Linked DNA regions of Cricetulus griseus. The protein of the gene in region 1 purifies or fractionates together with the protein of each later gene. This does not show direct contact. Links are inferred from orthologs where the notes say so. Each region holds a gene or a part of one and is shown on either strand. Other genes may lie near its edges. The genes, in order: Vps4a and Zfyve19.

Region 1 (4,508 bases):
TTGGGGGACAAATAATCTCTGCAGCACAAAAGTAGCCATAGATAGCATATAACAGAATGAGTTGGGATGTCATCCAATAAAACTTTATTTATAGGCACCAAAATCTGAATTTCAAATTATGCCATGAAAGCCTAAAAGCCCTCCCTCCAAACCATTTAAACAATGTAAAAGATTGTGACATTAAGTTAAGCCAGCCAAGTCAGTCACAGAGAGCCACACATTGTATGATTTTATTTAAAGAAAATCTCAGTTGGTCAATGGCGCACACCTTTAATCCCAGCACTTGTGAGGCAGAGGCAGGCAGATCACTGAATTCAACAAAGTGAGTTCCAGGTCAGGCAGGGCTACACAGATAAATCTTGCCTCAAAAAAAAAAAAAAAAAAAAAACAACAACACACACACACACACACACACCACACACACACACACACACAAAAAAAAAAAAAAAAAAGAAAAACCAAAATACCTGAGCCAGCAAGATGGATCAGCAGGTAAAGAAAGGGGCTTGCCTGATTTCAGGACAAAGACAATCAAGTGTGAGTTGGGTGTGGTATTACACAATTTTAAGCCCAGGTCTGGGAAGACAGAAGCGGGTAGGTATTTGTGAGTTTGAGGTCAGCCTGGTCCACATAGCCACGTTCCAGCCAGGGCTACATACTGAGACCCTGTTTCAAATAAAATAAAATAGAAACCAAGCTGACAGCCCTGCCGACTAGCTTTCATAGTGCTAGAAGGTGCTATGAAGGTCCCTGGGTGAGAAAAGACATCAATAGTATCCCTAAAGTCAGCTATGTTGCTACACTACTGACCTGCCAGACAAGCTGTGCTCACTGGTGTAGCAGTGGCACAGAGGTTATGGGGGTACTTAACTATGTAGGCTTGGATCTGAGGCCTGCTCTATCTATTGGAGGAATTCAGGCCTGGTACTGAAAATCTGGTCAGAATCACATGACTTGGGAATCACAGGCCCTGGGGAAGAATCTACTGCTGCTGTTATAAAAGAAATTCCAGAGAAACAAACTGCTTATTACCAAGCCTGACAACCTGAGCTCAACAACCAGAAGGAGAGAACTGACCCCTGAAGTTATCCTCTGACCTCCCCACAGGCAGTGGAATGGGAATGGGTTTGCTGGCACTGGCATACTAGTATACACACACACACACACACACACACACACACACACACACACACACACACACACACCATATGTATACAAACACAGAATAACATTTTTAAAAAAAGTGTCTAAAATAGGCAACTCCACAGACAAGTGTGCTACATGGGACTGAATGGCTGGGGAACAATGGCTAACATCATAGTTTCTTTGGTGATGATACAAACCTCCAAAAGCATTGGATGGTAAGCTTTAAATGTATAGCACCAGTGTTTTATCTACATAAAACTGTTTCGGGGCTGGAGAGATGGCTCAGTGGTTAAGAGCACTGAAGGCTTTTCCAGAGGACCTGGGTTCAATTCCCAGCATCCACATGGTGGCTCACAACTGTAACTCCAGTTCTAGGGGACCCAGCATCCTCACACAGACATACATGTAGGCAATCGATGCACATAAAACATAAAGATAATTTTTTAAATGTTTCAAAAATGCCCGAAAACATTCTTCTCTCTCTCTCTCTCTCTCTCTCTCTCTCTCTCTCCTCTCCTCTCTTTCTTGGGGGGGGGTGTTGAGACAGGGTTTCTCTGTTTAGTATTGGCTGTTCTGGAACTCACTCTGTAGAGCAGACTGTCCTCAAACTCAGAGATCCACCTGCCTCTGCCTCACGAGTGTTGGGATTAAAGGCATGTGCCACCACAGCCCGGCACAAAAAACATTCTTGGTTCACAGGCAGTGAAACACTGGCCAGGCAGGTGGGATCCGGCTGAAGTTGGCTTAATCCCTAGTAAACAGATAAGAATTCTGCCGGTGGATGGTGGTTCTGGCTCTGGATTCCATCTAATTCCAAACCTTGTACTCCCAATTGATTCCCACTCCTGTATTTCCATTTGGAGCAGCCAGCCACCCCCCCACCCCCAACAACAGGTAAGTGAAAGCCACCCACTCTCGATGCTCTGGCTAAAGTCCCTTCCTTCATGAAGTCTTACTTGGTTCTGCCCAAGCGCTGAATTTATTTGCAAAGGCTTACGGAGCACATGATGTGCTGAACCTATGTTACAATGCTTCCTCTGAATTATTCAGTCTGGAGCCGTCTGACAACCACCCTACAAGGGCACTGCCCATTTTACTGATGAGGAAATCCAACATTCCAAGATCAAAAAACCAGGCACGCTAGTGAGTGGCAGGGCTGGGATTTAAACACAAGCCTGGGGCCTGAATGTGTTTACGCTTTTTGACAGCTCTAGAATGAGCCCTTCCTTCTTTCGGGCGGCGCCACCCAGGATCGCCCTGCATGATCTAGGGAATGAATGAGGGGTGGCTGGCTGAGAAACAGGGGGCTCGTTGGCAGAAGGTCAGGGGGCAGCCAGGGTGCGCTGCAGGAGCCAGTGAACGGCGTTCCCGGAGCGACCTGGGGAGGCGGCACCGCTGCAAGGCGGCAGTTCAGCCCCGGCTGCGCGTAGCGGGCTCGGGGCCACGCCGGTTCGCCCTGGGCCGGGGCCCGGTGGAGACATCCCTTGGACTCCGAGCATGGGAGAGGCTGCAGCACTGGTGGGACGAGGCGGCCCTATGGGGACCGCAAGGCCGGGCTCCGAGGAGGCCGCAGCCCGCCCGCTCAGCGGCCCGCAGGCCCTGCAGCCTTCGGCCTCCGCGGTCGTGCCGCGCCCACGTACCTGGAGGGTTGACGTTGTCATTTCATCTCCTGGGTTCGCCCCACACCCCGCGGCGCTGCTTGCGGCCTCGGTCCGACCCGGAGGAGCCGAGGTGGTGGGTCAGGCGCTGGGAGCCCAGCGGGTCGGCGTTCGGTGCGGGACCGACTGCCACTAGCAGCCGGAGCCTAGTCCGAGGGTGAGCGAGAAGCGCGGCCCAGAGCGGCCCAGCCAGAGCCACGCGGCTGCCACCCAGCGGCCATGACCCGGAACTGCAGGCACCTCTCCTCCAAGGAGAGGGGGCGGTCGGGGGGCGGGGCCTGGTGGGATCCGGACGAGGGACGAGGCGAAGGCCTAATAATACCTTAGTAGGAGGCGGGGCTGAGCGAGGATGAGGTTAGGGGTGGGGGCGCCTGCATGAGGGGTGGGGCCAAAGGGGGCGGGGCCTGGTGGGATCCAGATAAGAGGCGGGGCCAGACGAGGGCCACGCTGTGAGCCTTTGAACCAAAGGCTGTGCTTCCAAGATTCAGAGTGGGGCGGGTCGGAGAAGGGCGGGGCTTGGAGGACGGGGGCAGTGGGGAGGGGGTGAGTGGGAGGGGGAGGGCAGGAGGAGGGGAGGAGGGGAGGGGGAGGAGGGAGGGCAGGGACCAAGTACAATCAGGACCCCACTGGAGTTAATATCACCAGAAAAGTAAATCTAACTTCCTGGAGCTGTGTTTTCTGGCTATTTAATAGGTTATGATAATTAGTATTTACCTCATGACTTCGCCAGTTTTGTGATAGTTTTATTCTTATTGTTTTGTTTTTCGAGACAGGGTTTCCCTGCATTGCCCTAGCTCTATCTGTAGACCAGGCTGCCCTTGAACTCCCAGAGATCCGCCTGCCTCTGCCTCCCGAGTGCTGGGATTAAAGGCGTGCTAGGTTTTATTTTTAAAATTTATTTATGATGTATAGTGTTGTGTCTGCATGTGAGACTGCAGGCCAGAAGAGGGCACCAATCTCTTTACAGATGGTTGTGAGCCATCTGTTGGGAATTGAACTCAGGACCTCAGGAAGAGCAGCCAGTGCTCTTAACCTCTGTGCTAGTTTTTAAGTGTCAACCTTTCTGGCCAAAGAGGTGGCTCAGCAAGTAAAAGCAGTTGTTCACCAGGTTGGAAGGAGAGAACTGACTTCTTAGAATTGCCCTCTGAGCCCCATATTCCCCACCCACCCAAATCTATAAATGTAAATGTTTATTTCAAAATGTTAGTTAACCTTTCTCTTAGGAAACTATTATTTTGTTCGTTTTGTTTTTGTGGTACTTTTTTTAAAAGATTTTATTTATTACGTATACAACATTGTACTTCCCTGTATATCTGCACACCAGAAGAGAGTACCAGATCTCATAACAGATAGCTGTGAGCCACCATGTGGTTGCTGGGAATTGAACTCAGGACCTCTGAGCCATCTCTCCAGCCCTTTGTGATACTTTTAATTGAACTTAGGCCCTCCCCTCAGCAATACCACTGAGTTAACCCACCGCAGTGAAAAATGTTTTTTCTTCTCTCTTTTTTTTTCCAGGCACATTCTTTTAGGTGGGGGTGTTTTGTTTTTTGAGGCAGGGTTTTCTCTGTGTAACAGTCCTGGAAGTCTTGGAACTCGCTTTGTAGACCAGGCTGGCCTTGAACTCACTGAGATCCACTTGCCTCTGCCCCCCAAGGCGTCTGCCATCAACACCGGGCTTCCAGGCAGAATTCTTTTTATTAT
Region 2 (4,344 bases), on another chromosome or scaffold:
TTGAGAGCAGGCCTAAGGCTCAGGAGGTAGGGGTGAGAGGCTTTACTAACTCCTGCAAAGCACATGATCATACATGTATCTGGGCTTCTGTAGGGAGCTTGCCCTAGGAAACCCTTCTCTCCCAAGCCACAACACTCACCGGTCTCACGGTGTGAGAAGGTGGTACTCTGCCCTGTAATGCTGCAAGCCGATCCTCCATTTCTCGTGTGGAAGGGATGGCGCCCTGGACTTCATCCTTCAGGGCAGCTAGCCGTGCCTCTATCTCTGCTTGTGAGGGTACTGACTCTGCAATTGGCAAGTGTTTGTAAGGGCTGGAGGCAGCTCAGTCCCAAGCCCTGCACCCTGCCTTTGAGGTCCCCCTGTACACTTAAACTCACTGGGCTTGTTTTCCTGACGGAGCCGTGCTAGGCGATCAGCGATGGCTTGGTCTTGTTGGGTCAAGCCCTGGCTCTGGGAAATGCTGGGCTTTTTCTTGGCTTCCAAGGCTGCCACACGCCTAGGAGGATATGAGGCAGACACTCTTAAGGCAAAGGGGAAGACTGAAGGCACCCATCCAAATCAATTGGGGCCTCTACAGGCAGTCTTCTGTGACCTCTATTTATGTGGTACTGCAGCCCAACCCAGCTGACCAGCTGTAGGGTATGTCTAACAGGGAAAGAGCTCCCAGATGCCTTTTCTGAGAACAGATTAATGAGCTGCTTTCAGAATCCAAGAGGGAAGCAGGAGCCCAAAGGTCTGCACCCATGTGGTCTGCAGATTGGAAGGAGAGCCCTGCTACTGGTGTCCTTGTCCTTTGCCATCCCCACTTGTCTTTTTTTCAGTACTTACTTCTTGTAGTTCTGAGGTGGCGACCACTTGGAGGTATTGTCGGGAGGCCCTCTAGAGAAGGAATTTGGTGTGAGAAGTCCCATCATGCCACCCAGCAGTGATTTCTACACCAAATACTTCCTAGGCAGACCTCTGGCCAGGGAGCACAAGGCCACAGGGCCTGGTCAGATGCTTAGTGTCACATCTGTCTGAACCCTTGCCCATGCCCATCTCTCACCTGGTCAGGACTGTGTGGCACTGCTTGCAGACTTTCTGTTGAGTGTTGCCAGCCCGAGGTACCAGAGCGTTGAAGCTAAGACAGCCGCTACAGAAGGCCCGGCCACAGTTCTTACAGCCATACTATAAGAAACACGAAGCAGGAGGATCCGTTTCTCACCCACCCCTGTTGGCTCTTCTCTGGGACTCTCTAAGCACTCACAGAAAGAAGAAATTAAAGTTGTGACCAGATGTTGGAGGAAGGAAGAGGAGTGGGATCCCCAGGGTCCAGGGAGAGATGGAGTAGAGGGCACAACAAGCCCTTGGTTTCCAGAGTCTTGTTCCGATCAGATAAAATTTCAGGCAAAACTCACATGCTTTCTGCCATTTTTAGTTTCTTACCATGGGGGTGAAGAACAAAGACAAACAAAGCTCTGTGAGTCAGGTCACTGGCTAGTCAACAAAAGAGAATCAGACAGAGTGTAGATACTGTGCTTTCTCTGCTCGGGCAAGATGGTGGGAGGTTGGGCTCAGGATAAGGGCATTAACAATAGCTTCAGTTATTAAGTGCTTAGTGTGTACCAGGCACACAGCTTGAACCTTAAAATTCATCATCTGATCCAACCTCATAATTTACACACAGTGTCATATTTGATCCTGATGCCCACATCAGTATCTCTATTCTAACAGGGGGCAGAGAGTTACCTGACTTGTTAAACTTAGGTCTTAACTGTGTAAATCAGGACAGCTGGGATTTGAACCCTGACTCCAAATGCATGCTCTGAGGTGCTCCGTCCTGCACACCATGAACTCATCCCATTTATTCCCCTCTATCTCCCCGGAAGCTTGCAAGGAGAACCTGGTAAGCCTGTGTCATGAACAAGAAAGCTTTTCCATTGTGCCCAGGGGAAAGTGGAAGCTTCGTAATACAACCTGAGAGTAACGGGCATGGTGTGATGCGCAGCGGCCCTAGGATAGTAAAGACAGAGATGGAGAAGAGAAGAGCAGAGAGAAGCAGGAGGTAGATGCTCCACTTGTTGGTAAAAAAGAAGAAAAAGGCGTAGCTTTTGGAAACTGACAGCAATAAGCTTTATAATTTATAGGGTACTTTCAGGTCCACACCTTACCAACCCCCCTTACAATTATTTCAATTTTACAATATTTCTTTGTGTGTGTGTGTGTGTGTGTGTGTGTGTGTGTGTGTGTGTGTGTAGATATGTGCATGCTATGGCACGTGTGTGGAGATCAGAGAATAACTTGAGGTAGTTCTCTCCTTCCTGGGGTTCCAACTGAGGTCATCAGGCTTAGCAGTAAGTGCATTTACCCGCAAAGCCATCTCACTGGACCTCATCATACCATAGTTTTAACCCCGAAAGCGAATGGGCATACGCCCCTCTTTACAGAAATGTTAACTGAGTTACTTCGTCAAAACTACACCACTAGAAAGAAGCAGTCAAACTGGGTCTTTGGCCTGCAAGTCCCGAGCTCTTCCCTTCGCCCCGCGTCCTTCCTTGGCCCTCCAGCTCTCTAGAACACTCGCCTCCTTCTTGAAGAGGGTGAACTTGACTGCACAGCCGTAGCACCTGCTCTCCATGGCGTCTCTCAGCGCCGCCGATTCGTAGGATCGCCTCTCACCAACGCAGTGAAGGCCTTTCCGACCCTCAGCCTAGGCAGCCCAGCCCTACACGCCCACCTGCGCCATCCAGCTGCGGCCCAGCGCGGGGAATTCTGACTCTCTCCGCTCGCCACCGCGCGGGCGGCGGCGGAGTGTGGGATGCTGGGAGTCGTAGTTCATTTTTCACGACACGCTCATCCACAGTCAGTCAAACCTGAACCGGATCACGCCGATTCCCAGGGGGCTTAGCGCCTTTGGGCCGGCTCCGAGCCAGTACCGCCTCCCCGCGCGCGCTCAGACTCCTGGGAATTGTAGTATCAGTTCGGTCAGGGCTGGAACCATGGCGGTGACCAAAGAGCTCTTACAGATGGATCTATACGCGCTGCTTGGCATTGAGGAGAAGGCGGCAGACAAAGAGGTGAGAACTCGAGAGGCACTGCGGATCTTCGGTCCTCGCGCCTGGCCGGCGCCTGGTCCCGGCTCCCTATGCTCCGCCCATATATACCGGACCAGGAGCGAGTACCGGCCTAATGCCTAAAAGGGGGGCCTGGGGCTTTTCCAGAAAGGACCTCTTTAGGGAGGGTGGCACTGAGGACTCGGAACTGTGTGACTGACTGCGCTCTCCTAGGCCACAGTGTGTGGTCGCCGGTTCGAATCTGAGAGCCGGGCCTGCTTCGTTGCGCCTGCGCAGCAGCAGTCTTACCTATGTGTGGAGATGTTTCGTTTCAGTTCCTAAACCAGTTTTTTTAGCTTCAGGTTGGTCCTGGGAGGGAAGAGAAGTTAGCTCTTTAGGTTCTTCACTCCCTTCTCAGCCTCTCCTTCTTGGATTTGGCGTTGAGACCTAGTACCGAGAGAGCTCGGTTTTCTTTTCCGCTTTTTAAATATCAGATTTTCCAGTGTTGCTCCTCCCAGCGTGTGCTACTTAGCGGGTTAAACAAGGGGAGAAGGAAGGCGGATCTTAGTGACAGAATTGTGAGGAGGACTGAAAGCCAGGCCCCCTGTTGCATGGCTCAGGTCCTGCACAGTTCAATAATACTGAGGAACACCAGCACTACATTTCACTCTCATTTAGTTCTTTCTCTGAATTCCAAAAATATGAGTCCACCTGTCTGATCTCTCCATTCGGATGTTTCACGGGAGTCCTAATCTTCCAGTATCCAAAATTGCACTTGAACTTTCCTGCCCAAACCTGTACCCTCCTTGGAATTCACTATGTTTGTAAATGCCACCACCACCTGTCCACTCAACTAGGATATTTATTTATGCATTTACTCATTTTGCATTGCTGAGAATTAAACGTAGACTCTTTTTTAGCCTGTTTTTTTTTAAGATTTTATTTATTTATTATGTATACAACATTCTGCTTCCATGTATATCTGAACACCAGAAGAGGACACCAGATCTCATAACGGATGGTTGTGAGCCACCATGTGGTTGCTGGGAATTAAACTCAAGACCTCTGGAAGAACAGTCTGGGCCATCTCTCCAGCCCCCTAAACATAGATTCTTTTACCTGTTAGGTAATGCTATACCACTGAGCTATGCTCCTAACCCCAGCCACTCTGAGTTACTCCCTTTTTATTGTTTTATTTATTTATATTTATTTTTGAGACACAGTTTCTCTGTGTTGCCCTGGCTGTTCTGAAACTCTCTCTGTAGACCAGGCTGGTCTGGAACTCACAGAGATCTGCCTGCCTCTGTCTCTC

What was found.
Region 2: the proteins of Vps4a (region 1) and Zfyve19 purify together in Homo sapiens (affinity purification with mass spectrometry; 3 studies listed by BioGRID and IntAct, counting the BioPlex papers as one, with this or other methods). This does not show direct contact. The link is inferred for Cricetulus griseus from reciprocal best matches to the Homo sapiens genes VPS4A and ZFYVE19.

What each region holds. Positions count from the first base shown.
Region 1 is NC_048596.1:183,344,602-183,349,109, reverse strand, and holds the start of Vps4a (vacuolar protein sorting-associated protein 4A), read right to left. Parts: upstream 2,986-4,508; 5' UTR 2,808-2,985; coding exon 2,787-2,807; intron 1-2,786. UniProt on the Homo sapiens protein: Involved in late steps of the endosomal multivesicular bodies (MVB) pathway. Recognizes membrane-associated ESCRT-III assemblies and catalyzes their disassembly, possibly in combination with membrane fission.
Region 2 is NC_048599.1:59,277,501-59,281,844, forward strand, and holds the start of Zfyve19 (abscission/NoCut checkpoint regulator), read right to left. Parts: upstream 2,844-4,344; 5' UTR 2,618-2,843; coding exon 2,564-2,617; intron 1,168-2,563; coding exon 1,046-1,167; intron 880-1,045; coding exon 829-879; intron 497-828; coding exon 378-496; intron 286-377; coding exon 140-285; intron 1-139. Other genes in the region: Dnajc17 (dnaJ homolog subfamily C member 17), read left to right, coding at 2,979-3,056. UniProt on the Homo sapiens protein: Key regulator of abscission step in cytokinesis: part of the cytokinesis checkpoint, a process required to delay abscission to prevent both premature resolution of intercellular chromosome bridges and accumulation of DNA damage.